Linked DNA regions of Canis lupus familiaris. The protein of the gene in region 1 purifies or fractionates together with the protein of each later gene. This does not show direct contact. Links are inferred from orthologs where the notes say so. Each region holds a gene or a part of one and is shown in the gene's direction. Other genes may lie near its edges.

Region 1 (3,516 bases):
AGTTTCCTGAACTCTGCCCCAGGGGCTGAGACTTCAGGCATGAATGAGCCATGGGGACTTCATGGTCTCGTGGGGGAACAGACCCATGGACGGTGAGTAGGACAGAGTGACCAGTGACCCAGCTGGCAGCACTGAAGGCAAAATAACAGGGGAGCGATTTCTGTCCTTTTTGTCACCACGTCCCAAGTGCCAAAATAGTGCCTGGCACCTCGTAGACAGTCTGCTCCTATTTGAGTGAGGGAGGGAAGGAGGGAATGAATGAATGAACGTCTCTCAGGTCAGCTCAGCCTCTCCATCCTCACTGCCGGATGACTTTTCGGGGGCCAGGGCTTGTCTGTTGCCCAGTCCCATACCACCCCTGGAGTTGTGCCAGGCAGTCGTCTCCTGACTGCCCTGCTGAAGCCCACACTCTTCCCTCCTGTTCTTCGGCTACCGTTAGCACAGAAATGGTAGAAAGCAGAAATCCAATCGTGTCATCCTCTTCCTTAAACATTGTCACCATCCCCCTTGTAATCCTCGGGTTTTGGCCCAGCCTTGATTTATAAGACCCTCTGTCGGTCCCTCTCCAGGCCATGTCTCTGCCCCCCCCCCCACCCCCCTGCCCTGTGCCCTGTGCCCTGGACTCAATCACACAGGGTGCTGCTGTTCCTTACTCCTCTCCTGCTGTCAGACCCCATGCAGCCTACCTGCCTGCCCACCTGCCCCATACTCGGGGGCAAGGACGTGTCTCGTTCACTGAGGAGTCCCTACCCTCGAGCCCTGCACCAGGCACAGAGACCGCGCCCAGTGGGGTCATCATTCCCACAGTGGTTCTTTAGTGCCACAGGCCCTCCTGGTGTCTGGTCCGAGGGTGCTGTGCCTACTTCTGACACCTAATCTGGGCAGGCACCGCCAAGAAGGGAGATGGCCCCTCAGCACGCCCTGCTCCTTCCTTCCACTGACCACGCAGCATCCCCTCCACTCACCCCCTCCCTCTGCCCTCCTAACACCCCTCTGTGCCCCCATCCACAGGGGCAGCCCCACCATGGGGCTGGGCATAAAAGGGCCAGAGGGCAGAGGCCTGTGAGTGTCACCTGTTTGTCCTACCCGGTTTGGGATCCTCTCTACCTGTTAACTTCTAGGGAAGCTCTGTGCCATATGGTGTGTGCCGGGCTAAGTTACTGGTTTAAGGCCAAGCTACCATTCCCTCCTTTCATCCTTACAAGACGAGTGGGGCTGTGATGGAAGGGATGTCTCCAGTTCACAGACCCACACAGGGAAATTAAGTCAATGGTGCACACTGCTAGCAAGCCACAGCATCAGGACTCGAACCCAGCCCTCTGGCTCCCTGTACTGTCTCGGAGAGCCCCCGGCTGTGTGCCGGAAGCTCCTTCAGTTCAGCTGTCCCTATTTAGGAAAGAAAGGGAAACCCAGAGAAGGGATAAGACTGTGAGCTGGTGACAGAGCCAGGGCAGAAGCCAGGGCCCCGTTCCCCCCACCCCACGACGTCCCTGCCCACCCCACGCACCCTCCCATCTCTAGGCCCAGCCTCTGCGGCCTGACCAAAGAGGCAGTTCAGGGAGGCTCTCGCTGGCACAAAATGGATTCCGTTCCAGGAAGAGGAGCAGGAGGTTGTGAGAATCTATAACTGTGGGATTGGACATGTCAGTCGATGGAGAAAAAAGAAAACAAAAAACAAAAACCCTTCGTGCACGTGTGTGCATCTGCTGCGGAGACCCTGCCATTGCGTTGCAGGCGCGGGAGGCTCGGCGCTCTCCATCCCTCGGCTCTCCCTCAGCTTTCTACCCCCAAATCTCAACAGCCCTATATATTTGTAAAGCACTTGACGGTTTACATCGCACCTTCCCAGCTGTTTTCTCATTTGTCTTCCCAACAACCCTAGGAAGTAGGCAGCTTTACCCCTGTATTTCAGACGGGACAGTTGAGGCTTAGGAAGGCCGTGTGCCGTTCAGGTGGACCCAGCTCGTCAGTGACCGTGTGCACCCAAACCCTCGCTGCCCCCGCTGACCGGGATGTGTCCCCTGGGTCATCCTTTTCTTGACTTAGCTCTGCCCTCTCCAGAACATGAGGCCCAGGGAGCCCAGGGCAGCTTGAGGGACCCGGGCAAGGGGCCGGCACTCCTGCTGTGCAGGTAGACACCCAGGGCCATGGAGATGGGCCAGGGTTTTGCTAGCAGGCAGGGGAAGGAGGAATTTCAGGAGCCCTGGGAGAGATGTGGGTGCCCTGCAGTGAGCCAGATGGGATGGGCCCCGCGCTAGAGGGGTTGTTGCACCTGTCACATGCCAGCCTCACCCACCTCCCCCCACCCCAGACCCCCACAGCAGAGTGTGTCTGACCTCACCAGACCCTGATGACCCTCTGAGTTCCTACATCAACGCCAACTACATCCGGGTACGTAGCCCTATCCCAGTGACCCACCCCCCACCCCCCGAAAGGGAGGCCCAAGCCAACAGGATCTGTCCTCCAGGCTTGTCCCTAAGCCAGCGGGGGCTCCTGCCACCCTGCGCTCCCCGGGGGGAGGGCCTGAGGGTGGGGACTGGGCCCAAGGAGCACCGCATCGGACCCTGACGGCCTGAACTTGACTGGCCGCAGGGCTACGGCGGGGAGGAGAAGGTGTACATCGCCACTCAGGGACCCATCGTCAGCACAGTCGGTGACTTCTGGCGCATGGTGTGGCAGGAGCACACGCCCATCATCGTCATGATCACCAACATCGAGGAGATGAACGAGGTAGGCACCCCTGCGCTGTTAGCAGGGGTCTGTCCTTTCCATATTAATCTCTAGAACAATGCTGAGGTTGGTAGCCTGCTGCCAAGGTGAGGGAATGGGGAGGCCGGGCAAGGTTAGGCCATTTGCTCAGGGCCACGTAGGTGGGCAGAGCCTGGAGCCGGCCTCTCCACCCCGGCTGTCTGTGACCTGAAACAGGCTGCTCTGCACCCCCCCCCCCCTCCAGCCAGGGCTCACCTGCCTGCGTCTGTACCCATACCAACCTGTTTCATTGAATCCCCAGAAGAGTCCTTCAAAGTAGGTATTCCAATTTCCGGATGAGGCAACTGATGCTCAAAAAAGAAAATTTACAGGTTAGGAAGCTGAGATTTGAACCCAGCGCTCTCTAACCGCAGACCTGTTGCCCTTTTATGTCTTTCCCTGCTGGTCCTGGAGAGGAGGGGCTGGCGGGTGGCGGCGGGGAGCAGGGTGGGGGCGCGGGGAGTGGTAGGACTGTGAGTGTATGAAGCCTGGTCTGGGCCCCCGCAGAAGTGCACTGAGTATTGGCCGGAGGAGCAGGTGGTGTACGACGGTGTGGAGATCATCGTGCAGAAGGTCATTCATACTGAGGATTACCGGCTGCGAGTCATCTCCCTCAGGGTGAGGCCAGGGGCCGGGCCAGGCGGATGGGGGGAAGGGCCCAGATAACAGGGTCCAGGAGTGCACTACGGCTGAAATCCAGGCCTGTGTCACTCTCAGGATGTAGCAGGGAGGAGGGAGGGGGGAGGAGGGGTGGATGACTTGGGGGCC
Region 2 (3,516 bases), on another chromosome or scaffold:
ATAAACTGGAACAAGTAGAAAAGGAATTGTTGAGAGTAGCAGTAAGTAGTTTTTTGTTCATTACTTACTAAATTTCGATCATATGTTTTTTGTTTTGGTTATTTGGCCGTGTAGCCCTAATGAGACATATCCTGAGAGAAAATGAACTATAAAAAAAGAAAAAACCCGAAATCATGTTGATAGTGATAGTAGTGGGTATTAATATTTTGAACCTATTGTGTGGTAGGTACAGGCAGATACATACCAGGATATTAATATTAGGAACCAAGACTTGGGGCTTAGAGGAGAAATAGAAGTCACCTTTGAAAATCTGTGTTTGTATTTCAGGTATTTTCAAAATAGTTTTTAGAATGTATTATAACGTGCCTTACTAGGAATTTCTTTTCCTTTTGAAGCCTTTCCTCAGTTTCAATTTTTATTTTATTCCCAAGATGTGAGAGGAAAATGACCAAGCACAGCATGCTGGGCAGCAAAATTAGGAAAGTCATATGGGCTCTGTAATGATAATAGAGAACTGATAAAGATAATGAAGCTTACAAGGGAGTCCATTTTAACATTTTTTTTAACATAAAGAGTAAAATAATTGAATTAACCGAAGTCTACTATGTAACTTAAAGGGGAAAATCTGCTGTAATTTTAACTCCATTTTCTAGTTAACAGGTTCCTGCCCATTTTGTTTACAGCAGAAATTCTCTCTCTCTTTTTTTTTTCCCAAAGATTTTATTTATTCATGAGAGACACAGAGAGAGAGGCAGAGATACAGGCAGAGGGAGAAGCAGGCTCCACGCAGGAAGCCTGATGTGGGACTTAATCCTAGGACTTAAGGATCACACCCTGAGCCGAAGGCAGACGCTCAACCATTGAGCCACCCAGGCATCCTGAAATTCTCCTCTTTGAGTTCTAGATTGAAGGTGGAGTCTATACCCTCTCCCAAGAAAGTTTTGCTCTTTTTTGGTATTATGCTTTCAGAAGTTCTTGTATTTTTAATCCACTTATTTCTAAAGATTTTTTTATCTTACTGTTCAGAAGAGAAAACCCTCACAGGCTAGTCACATAGGATGATACTTGTTCATTTTTCATTGTAAGCTTTTTTATCAGAACTTTTGTCCTAGTGGATAACATTAGCTCTGTATTCCTTTATGTCTGCAGATGATGCTTGCGGTCTTAGTTGGCATGATCCACACAGAGCAGGCAGGCTCACACACAGCTCTTTTGGAGCTGATACTTACTGCCCGCTCTTGTCATTTATGCCCATTTTAAACGTGAACAGCAGTGTTCACAGTAGAGAGCGTGACCTGGGTTGTGGTTCTTAGAATGGGGTTTGACTAAAACCTGGAAATCGGTTAAGATACAGAGAGATAGAAAGGAAGCAATTACCTGAAGTCTCTATAAAAAATTAGCAGTTTTTTAGAACTGAGAGGAAAGTGTTAATGCTACACAGATGCCACTACAAAGCTTTCCCACTGGATGATGGAGCAGAAAAAAACTAGAAACATGAAATACTGGATTCCCCAAACACCAGAATGCTTTTAATTTTTGTAAGTCAGCAATTTTTAGGGGAAAGTGTTGTTTTTATGGAGTCACTTAAATTGAAATTTTAGCCCTAGATGCTAGTATGTGACAAGTAGCCTGGATTAGACTCACAGTTCTGGCCAGGAGCCTGAGAAAAGGGACTGCCAGGGGTATTTAATTGAACGAAAGGTGCCCGGATGGAAACAGCCATTGGTTCATTGAACTCTGGCCTGATACAGAGGGGAACAGGGTACCAGAAGTTACCTTGGGTCACTGAAAACAGACATTTATGAATTAACAAAATAGAGACCCATGCTGTCACTCCTGGTAGCCACCTCCCATCCCAGAATGGCTGAGGCTTCTCTGGAAACACCAGAGGTCTCTCACGGGGCCCTGTAAGAGACAGGGCAGGGGCAGGACCAGGCTGAGACATAGAGGCCCCCTCCCAGGGCATGACAAGGAGGCCTCCTTTGCCATCAGAGCACCTTTTTAGGTCTGCACATGAGTGTTAGCATCACTAGCCTTCTCGTAGTTTGTGAAAATCTAGAGGATTACCCATATTAAATACGTTAACAATATGCAGTTAATTGACTATTTTGGCTGCTTAATTTTTTAATAATCTCTTGAAAAGCAAAAATAGACTTAAGAAACCTTACAAAGTGTTTTTAAATTTTTTCAAGAAATATATGAGATAAAGGTAGAAAGTATTCTCAAAGGCAATGAAAAGTACTTGATTGTAAACTTCTCTTCATAAGTGCTTGAGTGCTAATTAACGAAATACGTGATTCATGCGAAAGAAGTATGTTGTGGCAGCTAGGATCATTTATGCTTTAAGGAGTTTACGAAATTATTTTTTGGTACTTTCAGCAAATCTTGAAGGAACCTAAAATGGCTGCTTCCATTATGAATCCCTACATAAAGCGTTCCGTGAAAGTGAAAAGCCTAAATGACATGACAGCAAAAGAGAGGTTCTCTCCTATCACATCCAACCTGATCAGTAAGTATTAGACCTTTTCCACTGAAGCTGCTGGAAATCTTGCTATTGGAAATGTCCAAGGATCAGGAGCATCAGCATTACCTGCCTTTTGGCAGTGAAGCGTCTCAGGACTTAGCCAACCTGCTAAGTCGGAATCTTCATCTTAACTAGCTCCCCAGGTGAATTGTTTGTGCATTAAAGTTTGAGGAGCACTGTCTGAAGGATGTTAGGATGTAAGAAGATAATTACAGTCAGTACCTTCACCCTATGGAGAAGACCGGTGGGATTCATACCCAGAAAATGGTTTGCAGCCAGGGCTGTACCTCTGTCCTTGAAGACAGGTGGATTCTTTGGTGCATTTGGCTTGACTTTGAAGTCCTGTGGTCAGCCAGAATACGGGCTCCAAAGCAAACCATCTTTGAATATAGATATATGTTAATTTGGGGATTTGTAGCCAAACACTGGAATCTAACCAGAAATAGGAGAATCAGACCACAGGCTGTGATGAAGATGCCTGTTGCAGATCTCTGAGACCTCCCCCTACACCCGCCTTACTGATATAAATGCCTGTCAGTGCTGGTTCTTTTAAACATTGGATATACTTTTTTTTTTTTTTTTTAAGATTCTATTTATTTATTCATGAGACACAAAGAGGGGGCAGAGACACAGGCAGAGGGAGAGGCAGGCCCCATGCAGGGAGCCCAATGCGGAACTCGATCCCAGGTCTCCAGGATCACGCCCTGGGCTGAAGGCAGGAGCCAAACCACTGAGCCACCCAGGCTGCCCTGGATATACTTTTTAAACAACAACAAGTTGTATCTCCTTTGTATTCACATTCTTTTTTTTTTTCTTTTTTTTTTAAGATTTTATTTATTTGTTCATGAGCGACACAGAGAGAGAGAGAGAGAGAGGGGCAGAGACACAGGCAAAGGGAGAAGCAGGCTCCATGCAAGGAGCCCGATGTGGGACTCGATCCCAGGGCTCCAGGATCACGCCCTGGGCCGAAGGCAGGCACTCAACCGCTGAGC
Region 3 (3,970 bases), on another chromosome or scaffold:
ATTCTGGGAGATTGAATGGAATTGAAAAGAGCCTCTGCCTCTGTGTCAAAAGATATCATTTTAAGTCTCAACTCCCCATCCATACAATTTGATTTATCCAGTCAAAAATCTTTGAACGTCTGAGCGTCAGGTACAGGGGAGGATACAGTAATGAGCAAGACAGACATGGCCCCTGCTCATCCTGTTAAGAAAATCGGAGGACACCTATAATGTGCGGTTGTCCTATGGAAGAAACCCAGCTGGTCCAAGTATGGTGTAAACTACAAAATCTTGCATCCCATCAAAAGATGGTGATCCTGCCAGGATTCCAGTTTCACCAAGTCCAATGACAACAAAATCGTCACCTATTTTGCTGTTTTTTGAGAGAAGCCTGATAGTGTATTTTAACCAAACCTGGTCAACACTGCAGGCAGCTTTCCCGCCCTTCTGTTGCAGTTCCACCTAAATGGGCTGAGGTTATGGGTGCTCACTTCCAGCACTGTACTGTCGCTGGCAAGAGGCCAAGCCCCTAGTCCACTCTCGCAGGCCTGTCAGAAACCCATTAGGCTGAGTCTGGACCTGCGGGTTCTCGGTGGCTCCAAGTCACCAGCCTCGGCCCCTCATCTGTGAAAGGCAGGCCGTATCTGCGAAGAAGCCATCTCCCACGCTACTGGGAAATGCGGATGCGGCCGTGTGTCGTCGGGCCGAGCCTCGCTCGGAGGCCACACTCCAGAGGGCTGGGGAGGGCCCCCTTGGGGCTCCATCTCGAGCCCCGGGCCGCGACTCGGTTGGCAGCAGAGCTGGCGGGGCCAGGCGACTCGGTCCCGGCCCCAGCTCCCGCACCCGCTTGCTGGGTGGCTCCGGGAAGGTCACCTGGCGGCCCTGCCGGCTATAGCCTGCATTCGGCGGGAGGGGTGCACCGTCTCCCGGCCGCCGCGCTCGTCCCTACGGGCTGCCAGCAGCAGACGGAGCGGCCGGGCACCGGGGACCCGGGCAGCAGCCGAGGGCGCCCGGGAGCGCGCGGGGGTCACGTGGGGCGCGCGGGGGCGCGCGGGGGCGCGCGGGGGCGGGGCCTGGCGCACGCGGCTCAGCCGGCGGCGGGGCGCGGGGCGCGGGGCGCGGGGCGGGCGGGAAGGGGCGGGGCCTCGGGCGGGGCCGCCGGGGGGAGGCGGGGAGGCGGGAGGGGAGGAGTGGAGATGGCGGCGGCGGCGGCGGCTCAGGGGGGCGGGGGCGGGGAGCCCCGGGGAGCCGATGGGGTCGGCCCGGGGGTCTCGGGGGAGGTGGAGGTGGTGAAGGGGCAGCCGTTCGACGTGGGCCCGCGCTACACGGAGCTGCACTACATCGGCGAGGGCGCGTACGGCATGGTCAGGTGAGGGGGCGTTCCGGAGGAGGGGGCTCGTGGGGGGGCGCGCGCGAGGGTGAGTGCCCTCGGGCCGGGGCGCTCCCAGGGTCCCGAGGAGGCGGGGGCTTCACGAGGCCGGCGGGGCGTCCCACGGCGCGGCCCTGGGGTGCTCTGGGGGAGCGGCGCCGCCTACGTTCTAAGGGGAGGGGGCTTGGGAGGCCTCAGGAGCGACCATTCTGTAGTGAAGGGAGGGGCATCGGAGTGTCCGCGGGGGAGCCGTGGGGGGACCCTGGGGACTCTGTGGACGCGGGAGGAGGCGGAGACACGAAGTATTCTTGGGGAGGTGATATCAGTGAGGACCGAGTGAAGGACCCTACTCTGGGGAAAGGATGCCTTGGATTCTCCCAGTGAGGCCTGCCAAGGAGCTGGGGAGAGCAGAGCTCAGGGCTGGGCAGGGTGGGGCAGGGCTTTGGGCCTGGGGCCAGGAGCCCGGTGACCCATGAGGGGTCCAGGGGTGCGTTCTTGCAACTTTTAGAAGGGGTCTGTTAGCTCTCTCGTCCCCACTGTGTGCTCTGGGCCTTTGTTCATCTGGGAACAGCTCTCCTGCCCAGGTGCCTGACCCTAACACCTCATCCCTTCTTTCCCATCCCTCCTGACCGCCTCCTTCTCACTGTGCCTCACTGTGCGTCCTGCACTCACCTCCCACTCCCTGGACCTGTCTTGGGTTGAAGGAGCCCAGCCTGGAGAGGGGAGGATGAGAGGTCAGGGCAACTAGAATGGACAGGGCTGAGGAGAGGGGAAGTCAGTGAACGGTCAGTCTCTTCCTCTGTTTGTGAAGTCACCGAAGGGCTGCCTGGCTGGTCCCCAGCTTTCTCCCTGGAGATCCCAGGCCTTCACAGCAGGAAGGAACCAGCATTGTTTATGACTTGGCCAGAGTCCTCTCATGCTCCCTCCCCTCCCTGCTCAGGCCTGGGTAGGGCCACCAGGCCTGGACTCCCCCTATGTAAGGCCACACCAACAACATCTCTCTGACCCTCTCAGCTCAGCTTACGACCACGTGCGCAAGGTTCGCGTGGCCATCAAGAAAATCAGCCCCTTTGAGCATCAGACCTACTGCCAGCGCACACTGAGGGAGATCCAGATCTTGCTGCGCTTCCGCCATGAGAACGTCATTGGCATTCGGGACATTCTGCGGGCGCCCACCCTGGACGCCATGAGGGATGTGTATCCTTCACCTTGGCCAGATGGCTGGCTAGGCATAGCCTCAGAGCCGGGCTGGGAGAACGTTGGCTTTCTTTCTGTTTCCTTCTTTCCTGCCACACTCCAAAACAAACCCAGCAAATGAAACTTTCCAGCAGAAAAGAGACCACAGAGTGTAAGAGGACTGGGAGGCCTGAGGTGAATCCTGGCCTGCTGTAACCAGGCTGTGTGGCCTTGGGCAAGTCTGTGCTCCATGCTGTGCCTCATTTGGGGGGAGGGTGAGAGTTGGGCTCTATGGGAGCTTTGTCTTTTGACATCTGCATTTCTGTGACGTGACCCAGCCTCTGCCCACAGACAGTTCTTGTTTAACAGATGATGATTCTTTCCTCTCTGGGTCTGCAGACTGGAAGGAAGGCAGGAAGGAAGAAAACTGCCCGTTCTGAAGGGCCTACTATGAGTGAGGTGCAGTGCACGCCAAATGCTTTGACACTTCTTATTCTACCTCCCAGCTGCTGTATGAGATGGGTCTCATCAGCTCCATTTCAAAGATGAGAAAACTGAGGCTCAGAAAGCCCCAAATCAGGTGCTGCTGTTGCTGCCTCCTAACCTCCCCCAGATGAGAACTGTCCTTTCTCTGACATTTCCTGCTCAGAGCCTCACCCCAGTCACCTGTGGACTTGCACTTCGCCCAGGGAGGGACAGCCTTGTCTTTGTTGCCCTCCCCCCCCCACATTGCTTCCCTAGCTTGTCGTCCACTTCCTGTCAGGCCCTGTTGTTAGCAGCTTATAGCACCCATCACCTCTCCCCACCCTACCCACCCCCAGCCAGTCCCAGTTCTCCACCCAAATGTGGGGATTTGTGCTGCACTGTCTGCAGCCCCCACCACAAGCTGTGGGCAGGAAATCTCCACACTCGCCACTAGCTTGCTGTGTGACCTTAAGCAAGTCACTGCATCTTGCTGGGCCTCCTCACCTCTCAAACAGCATAATCGGCCCAGGTGTCTTCAGAAGGCTCTTTCAAGGCTGATTCTAAAAGACAGCCCTGACTTATTCTTTCAGAGAGCAACCAAATGGCATTTATTTATTTATTTATTTATTTACTTAACGTATGTTTAATCTTTGTTTTCTCTTAAAATACCAAAGGACATTTACTCTTCCATCTTCTGATGTATGGCCAGGCACTCTTTGAGGAGGAGCATGCTGTTGGGAGTTTCTCCTCATTTGTCTTGCCCAAACCATTCCCCATAAGGCAGGCATTTATTTTTAAGCAAACATTTATTGCATGCCAGATGGTGTTCACACTATCTCATTTAACCCTCTCAACAGCCATGTGGCTTAGGCATTTATCATAGCAACACTAGTTCATGTTTGCTGAGCACTTACAACATGCTAGGCTCTGGACTGGGCCGGCTGGTTTCCATGGGTCACCTCACTGAGTCTTCATAACTGC
Region 4 (3,516 bases), on another chromosome or scaffold:
TTCTTCTCTTCTTCTATATGCCCCTCCCTGCCCCCCCCCCCCGCCTCCCCCACCCCCATTCTGTCTTCTTTGTGGAGATAATTTGCCACCTCAGACTTTAAGGAATGGCTCCACATTCCTTCCTGCCACCATCACTTCCAGGATCCTTTGCAGAGGGAAGTAACAGTGGTAGCTGCAGGATATGTACTGCCTTGGCTAAAATGAAAGTTGATTTCTTCCTTGAAGTTGGCGTTATTATGTGCTTTGGTTGGCTCCTAAAAGTGGCACTGCCTGAGACCCTACCTCCCTGAATCAAGGATTGTGCAGTGGACAGTGCCATTTAACAGCAGACAGGGAAAAATCAGACCAGGCCTTCCTGTGACAGGGAAGGGAGCCATGCCATGATAATAGTATAAGCAACCTTCTCACTTTCCTGAAGATTGTGTTATGTTGGCATGTTAAAAAAATCATCCCTCTGCTTGGTCCCAGCAGCTGTACTTCAGGTTGTTTTGCCCTTTGAGAGCTGATAGTCATGACACCCTTTTCAGAAGTTGTAATGAAGGCTAAGTGGTTTCCCCTTTTTAAGTACTTTGTCCACAGTGCTCGTTGAGAGTGATTTCAGTGTTCCTGTGATAATTTTTACAATAGCAGAGATGCTTACATTCTTCGAAATGTTGGGCAGTTCTGGGTGAGTCTGTGTCAGCCTTGGAGATTGTAAGTATGTGAGTTCTCAGCAGGGCTACTCTCCCATCCAAAAATGAGCCCACAAACTCGTCAGGGCTATACACAGAATTCTATGCCATTGGTTCAGATTTGCATCTGCCCCGATCTGCTCCCCTTGGCTCTGTAGGATTTATTTGAGTTATATTATCAAGTTCAAGGATCTGTGAGAAGCTCTATTCAAGTCATAAATACTCTAGGATGTTGGGAAATTATGCTGGATGCTGGTAGTTTTCTTGTCTGTCATTCTGTTTTGAATGTATTTTCATCCTATCAGTTCATGTTTCAGACCTGGCAGTGCTCACTGTTTGACTTCCTATTAGCCAACTCCAAGAGATTTGTTAACTCATTTTTCTAGAGAAGGGAGATAAGGGGGCGGGGAGTATGTGTGTGTCCCCACAGCTTATTTAGGTCACATCCATCCTTCTCTGGAATCATGACATTTAAACATTCAAAAGAACTGGATACCACTTAGCAATACAGACTGCCAATGAGTTGAATGGAGGCTTTGGGCCATCTGGTGCTCAGCACGGCAGTTCTCAGAATCTAAACATGCCTGATAGCTCATTGCCAAATAGTGACGTCATACAAAGAGTCTCTTCTTGCAGACAGAACATGGTGTTACTGACCACGAACTTGTGCCCAGCATATTAACTGAGCAGGAACACACCGATGATGTAAATAATGACAGCTGCATTTTGTCAGTCACTGACTTCATGTTCGACTATTATTCTCAAAACACGAATTAAAAGTTGAATTGACCTTTGATATAGTGTGTGTTTGTATCTGTCAAGATCTTAGAGGAACCTTTTCCTTACCCCTGACCTTATTCCTCATCAAGGTATTGGTTATCAGGACATGGTTCTTTTCACCCTAGGAACCTCAGTCAGATGTAATGTGTGGTTCTTAATTGGATCCCAGTTTGAACAAACCAGGTGTAAAAGACAACTTTGGGATAACTGGAGAAGTTTTAACATAAACTGGATTTTTAGATGATATTTCAGAATTATTTGTCATATATAATGGTTTTGTGATTATATAGAAAGATGTATTTATGCTGAAATATTTAGAGGTAAAGTGTCATGTCTATCATTTTATTTTAAAATGGTCCAGCAAAAGCTCCAAATAGGTAAAAAAAGAAATAATGTTAATTGTTGGATATGGGTGGTAGGCGTATGAGTAATCACTATACTATTGTTTTGTATATTGAAATTTGTCATAGTGAAAATTTTATATTTCTTTTATCCAAATACCGTGTCTCACCCACACACCCATGTAAAACCCTCAGTTTGTTCATTGTTGGAAGATCTGTTTGATGAATATTCATTGCCTTATGTTAGTAAATAAACAGCACAGGGAGACAAAAAAGTGAAAAATCAAAAAATCCCTGCTTACCTTTTCTAGATTAGTTTGGTTATAAGTTTTCCTTTTGACACAGTTTGAGTACAGTCTTAGCTGTTTGACACTGACATTCTACAAAAGTTTGTTCATACAGAGTTTCGGTTATTTTTAAAACTTGTTCTTTAGTAACGTATTCTTAATACAAAACACATCCCTAGACATACATACACATAAAGAAGAAAAGAGATCATGTTTCTTAGAGCAGACACATGGGGGGAGAATTCTTTGTTCCATATGAAGACTCAATACTGTGTATTTGCTTAATAAGGCCTGATTTTTTTGGTGACGTGTTAAAAACTTTTTTTTTTCCTTCTAATCTGTGGGGCTGATAGCTGTCGACTTGCTGGAGAAGATGCTTGTATTGGACTCAGACAAGAGAATTACAGCAGCCCAAGCCCTCGCACATGCCTACTTTGCTCAGTACCATGATCCAGATGATGAACCAGTGGCTGATCCTTACGATCAGTCCTTTGAAAGCAGGGACCTCCTTATAGATGAATGGAAAAGTAAGTCATAAGAGCAGGATTAACATCAAGTGTGGGAACTTAGATTTTAAAATGTTTCTTAGGTGAGCCACTAACCAAAAGCTGTGGGAAAATAAAATTTCTGGTTATAATCAATTTGTTAAAACTTGTAACTAGTGTGTCTGATGCAGGATGGATATGTTCTTCTGATGGAAACTGTCTGTTGTAGATGATGACACTCTCTGGACCTTTGAGGTGCTTGTGTCTGGTCTGATTTTGTGCAACCCCCCCCCCTTACATCTGTATAGAGCTTCAAGGTTCTCAGAATCTGCGTTTACAACATCTGTCTGAGAGAAGTAGGGAATAAGGTATTTTTGTAGTTTTACGATTGATAAAACTCTAGAATTATAGTTTTATAATTTTTAAGAAGATTTTATTTATTTATTCATGAGAGACACAGAAAGGCAGAGACAAAGGCAGAGGGAGAAGCAGGCTCCCTGCAGGGAGCCCAAGGTGGGACTTGATCCCAGGACCACAACCTGAGCCAAAGGCAGACGCTCAACCACTGAGCCGTCCAGGTGCCCCTATAGTTTTATAATCGATAGTCTGCATCTTATCTGTTACCTTGGACCTACTTAGGGACACAGCCAGAAATGAAACCTATGTCTCCTCTATATCCCAACTTCAAATTCTTTCCATAAAAACACATTCAGAACTCCAGGTAGATCCCAAAGGCAAAATTATCTATTCCGTAGCTTGTAGAAGTGCTCTGCTATTCTTGAGCATCTTCTCCAGAGAGCTTAAAAGAGGAGGCACGGTGGAATGAAACAAATAAGTAAAAATAGTTCTTTTTGTGTATCCTTGAACTTCTATGTAATCACATGTTCCTTTAGGTTATAACATGTAAGCAATGAAGTGGTTATTTGAAGTCGTCCATCCAATCACTGGCCTG
Region 5 (3,516 bases), on another chromosome or scaffold:
GGAGAAAGATGCCAAGCTGCAGAGTGGGCCAGGGGGCCTGTGCTTCACACATGGATCTCAGCCAGGACCTGGAAACCACACAGGAGGACAAGTGACCATTGTCTTCTGTGACCTTAGAGGCCTTCTTTATATGTTGAAAGATAAACTGACCATTGCAGAGAGGACTTTGGATTTCAGAGAAATACATATATAACACTTTACCTTCAGATGCCTGCAAAACATAAGAATGGTTTAGGGGAAAAAATCCAGGTTTTGTAGGAAGAGTTGGGTTTGAACCCTAGGCTTCCACTTTCAGCCTTTGGCTGATCACATCACCTTTCTGAGTCTAGGTCTGCAATTGTTAGATTAGCCACAGTCTTGAGAAGCTCAGAGAGGTAATAGGCACCCAGTGTGCTGCTGGCTCTTCTCCCCATAGTGATGCTTAGTTCCATTGTTTCATGAGTCAATTTAAACAGGAAATGGAAAGTAATCAGTAAATGTTCCTTTGGCTTCTCACCACTGCAAAACCTTTCTCTTTGTAGCTCTGGATTTACTGGACAAAATGTTGACATTCAACCCTCACAAGAGGATTGAAGTAGAACAGGCTCTGGCCCATCCGTATCTGGAGCAGTATTATGACCCAAGTGATGAGGTAAGACCTATACCCTGGCTGCTGCTTCAGGAATATCTATCAGGCAGCAGTAGGCCCAACCAGGAAGGGCCCAGATGTCACGTTAGATTGGTTCTGAGAAGTGTATGATGCCACACCTGGTCCTCTCAGCCTGCATTGTCTGCTTGAGGACTAGTACTGTCAGCACAGCTTGAAACCTCTCCCTACCCCACCCCCCAAACCCCTTCTGTCTCAGAAAGCTTCCTCCAGGGCACCTGCAGCAGAGGTGGGACTGGGGAAATAGATGAGTAAAGGGGAGCACGAATAAACAGGCAGTCCAAGGCTAGAGACCATTGTCATGGTCTGTGGCAGGAAGAGCTACCTCAATCACAGTGCCTGTCTGAGGGTGGAAAGGAGGCCAACTGCCTGCTTGGAGAGGGGCATTGCAAGGGGGCGGTATGCCTGGTATGTGCCTGGTATGCCTCCTTAGGTATGGGGATACTAGAGCCTCTTGTGGTAAGAAATGCGTCCAGAGGTGGATGTGGCAGGCCTCCAAAGCCAGGTAAAGATCCTGTGTGTAAAAAAAAAAAAAAAAAAAAATCCTGTGTGTCATGTTTATCTCTAAGAAAGTCCCAGTTCCTTAGCCTCTTGGATTCTTCTGGGGCTTTATTCTCTGGATGGTAATGAAGAAAAATGTAGTATGAACCAAAGTTTGGATCTTTCTAGTGGAGGCTCATGCAGAGACAGTAAGCTTTCATAAGAGAACCAAGCGGAGTGTGTTAAAAGGAAAAATGGAAGAGGAAAAGAAAAAGATATAAAAGTTAAAAACTGATAAATGAAAGAGAAAGAAGAAATCAAAAAGAGGAAGTATTTCCTAATTAGCCCCCTTCCATCTCTGTCCCCTACCCTCAGAAATAATGGAGGCAGCTTACAAAGATACCTACAACATAATAAATAATAGGGAAGGAGGGGAGAGTGTAAAGTTTGGAGCTCTGACCAGCCCTATGAGCCCCCCGTGTCCTAATCACAAGCCTAGGTGGTACTCCAAATCCAGTTAGCAGGTGGGAGGACCAGAAGGATGGCATATGTGGGACACCATTGTGACCTCACACATACAGCTGCCCTTCAAAGAGGGCTAACTACTTGTTTTTCTCTTGTGGACACGAATCCTTTTCCCCCTTTCAAAAAACCAATGCTTAGTGCAGAGTTGGTGTCCATGTTTCCTTACCCTGAAGGCCTGGTGTGAGGATTACATGGATAAAATCTAGGAGTGCCTGGTAACTAGGCATCCACTGATTGATAGCTGGAATCCTCATCAGATTAGTTGTAGAACATTGTGTTAGTTTGGAGGTACTTAAAAATCAAAATATAAATAATATCAATTGACTGATTTTCTTTTTCACCATTGTATATATGGAAATTCTTTGACATAGTCATTTTAAATATGTACTTAAATATTAAATAGCCTTCTGATTAGTCATAGGTTGTGCTGAAAAGTAAAAATGAAAACTTGCAGAAAACTATGACAGATCATGTTGTAGTCTTGTTACACAGATATTAAGATTTTGGAGTATTTTCTTCTCAGTCTAATATTTCTGTATCTAAACTTTTTTTAAAAACAGGGTTTTGTTTAACACAAACATGCACATTTCCCCATAATATTATTCTTTCTTACGGCTTCATTTTTAATGACTCCATAGTAATTTTTCATATGAAGATAGTATAATGTATTTAATCAAGTATTTGATTTTGAGTATCATGGCTTTTGATTGTGTAAACCTATCCCCACAACAGCAAATTTCTGTTACTTCAATACTTAGTGCCTTAAAATTTTTTTTTTTTTTTTTTTTTTAAGATTTTATTTATTTACTCATGAGAGACACAGAGAGAGAGAGAGGCAGAGACACAGGCAGAGGGAGAAGCAGGCTCCCCGCAAGGAGCCGGATGCGGGACTCGATCATGGATCCCAGAATCATGCCCTGGGCCAAAGGCAGATGCTCAACCACTGAGCCACCCCGGTGTCCCAGTGCCTTAAAATTTTGAAAATGATTTTGGGATTAGTGGTAAATTCAGAAGAGTGGTCAAAATAGATTTAGTTGCTCCCCGTGCATTTACTGTATGTTCACAGAAAATGTGCCTTTTGGATCACGTAGATGGAATACGGGTACATAGATACTTCTCAGAGCTTTTGGGTTTCCAAAGATGTCAGTGCTACTATATACATTTCAGAGTTGAATCCACATACATTATGAATCAGTACATGACTACCTCAACCACAATCACTCTTGTCTACTCCATGTTCTTTGCTCTCCTACAGCCCATCGCTGAGGCGCCATTCAAGTTTGACATGGAGCTAGATGACCTGCCCAAGGAAAAGCTCAAGGAGCTCATCTTCGAAGAGACAGCTAGATTCCAGCCGGGATACAGATCTTAAATTTATCAGGTACCTAGAGTTTTAGTCGCACAACAAACCCTGGTGAGGGAGAGAGAATATAAATTAAATGTTATTAAAAAGAAAGGGGAAGCCTGGGTGGCTCAGTGGTTGAGTGTCTGCCTTTGGCTCAGGACATGATCCCAGGGTTCCGGGGTCAAGTCCTCCATCGGGCTCCCCACGAGAAGCCTGCTTTTCCCTCTGCCTATGTCTCTGCCTCTCTCTCTCTCTCCCTCTCTCCCTCTCTCTCTCTCTCTCTCTCTCTTAAATAAATAAATAAATAAATAAATAAATAAATAAATAAATAATAAATAAATAAATAAATAAAATTTACAAAATATTTCCTTGAGTTCCACATGGAAGTTTCCTTTGCTTAAGTTTTAAAGGGTGGTGAGCAATGTTGTGGTATCGGTAAGATTTCAAAAAATTGTGTTCAAGAAAAAGGAAATGCAGATCTTGATTTTAGAGAACATACAGAAAGAGGAGAGAGAATAGT

What was found.
Region 2: the proteins of PTPN5 (region 1) and ATP5PO purify together in Homo sapiens (affinity purification with mass spectrometry; 3 studies listed by BioGRID and IntAct, with this or other methods). This does not show direct contact. The link is inferred for Canis lupus familiaris from reciprocal best matches to the Homo sapiens genes PTPN5 and ATP5PO.
Region 3: the proteins of PTPN5 (region 1) and MAPK3 purify together in Homo sapiens (affinity purification with mass spectrometry; 4 studies listed by BioGRID and IntAct, with this or other methods). This does not show direct contact. The link is inferred for Canis lupus familiaris from reciprocal best matches to the Homo sapiens genes PTPN5 and MAPK3.
Region 4: the proteins of PTPN5 (region 1) and MAPK14 purify together in Homo sapiens (affinity purification with mass spectrometry; 3 studies listed by BioGRID and IntAct, with this or other methods). This does not show direct contact. The link is inferred for Canis lupus familiaris from reciprocal best matches to the Homo sapiens genes PTPN5 and MAPK14.
Region 5: the proteins of PTPN5 (region 1) and MAPK1 purify together in Homo sapiens (affinity purification with mass spectrometry; 4 studies listed by BioGRID and IntAct, with this or other methods). This does not show direct contact. The link is inferred for Canis lupus familiaris from reciprocal best matches to the Homo sapiens genes PTPN5 and MAPK1.

The regions. Positions count from the first base shown.
Region 1 is NC_049242.1:41,782,431-41,785,946, reverse strand, and holds part of PTPN5 (tyrosine-protein phosphatase non-receptor type 5), read left to right. Parts: intron 1-2,311; coding exon 2,312-2,391; intron 2,392-2,592; coding exon 2,593-2,730; intron 2,731-3,255; coding exon 3,256-3,366; intron 3,367-3,516. UniProt on the Homo sapiens protein: May regulate the activity of several effector molecules involved in synaptic plasticity and neuronal cell survival, including MAPKs, Src family kinases and NMDA receptors.
Region 2 is NC_049252.1:29,060,801-29,064,316, reverse strand, and holds part of ATP5PO (ATP synthase subunit O, mitochondrial), read left to right. Parts: coding exon 1-41; intron 42-2,379; coding exon 2,380-2,509; intron 2,510-3,516. UniProt on the Homo sapiens protein: Subunit OSCP, of the mitochondrial membrane ATP synthase complex (F(1)F(0) ATP synthase or Complex V) that produces ATP from ADP in the presence of a proton gradient across the membrane which is generated by electron transport complexes of the respiratory chain.
Region 3 is NC_049227.1:18,278,794-18,282,763, reverse strand, and holds the start of MAPK3 (mitogen-activated protein kinase 3), read left to right. Parts: upstream 1-1,161; 5' UTR 1,162-1,175; coding exon 1,176-1,348; intron 1,349-2,362; coding exon 2,363-2,545; intron 2,546-3,970.
Region 4 is NC_049233.1:5,397,243-5,400,758, forward strand, and holds part of MAPK14 (mitogen-activated protein kinase 14), read left to right. Parts: intron 1-2,432; coding exon 2,433-2,606; intron 2,607-3,516. UniProt on the Homo sapiens protein: Serine/threonine kinase which acts as an essential component of the MAP kinase signal transduction pathway.
Region 5 is NC_049247.1:31,191,114-31,194,629, reverse strand, and holds part of MAPK1 (mitogen-activated protein kinase 1), read left to right. Parts: intron 1-521; coding exon 522-631; intron 632-2,906; coding exon 2,907-3,023; 3' UTR 3,024-3,032; intron 3,033-3,516. UniProt on the Homo sapiens protein: Serine/threonine kinase which acts as an essential component of the MAP kinase signal transduction pathway. MAPK1/ERK2 and MAPK3/ERK1 are the 2 MAPKs which play an important role in the MAPK/ERK cascade.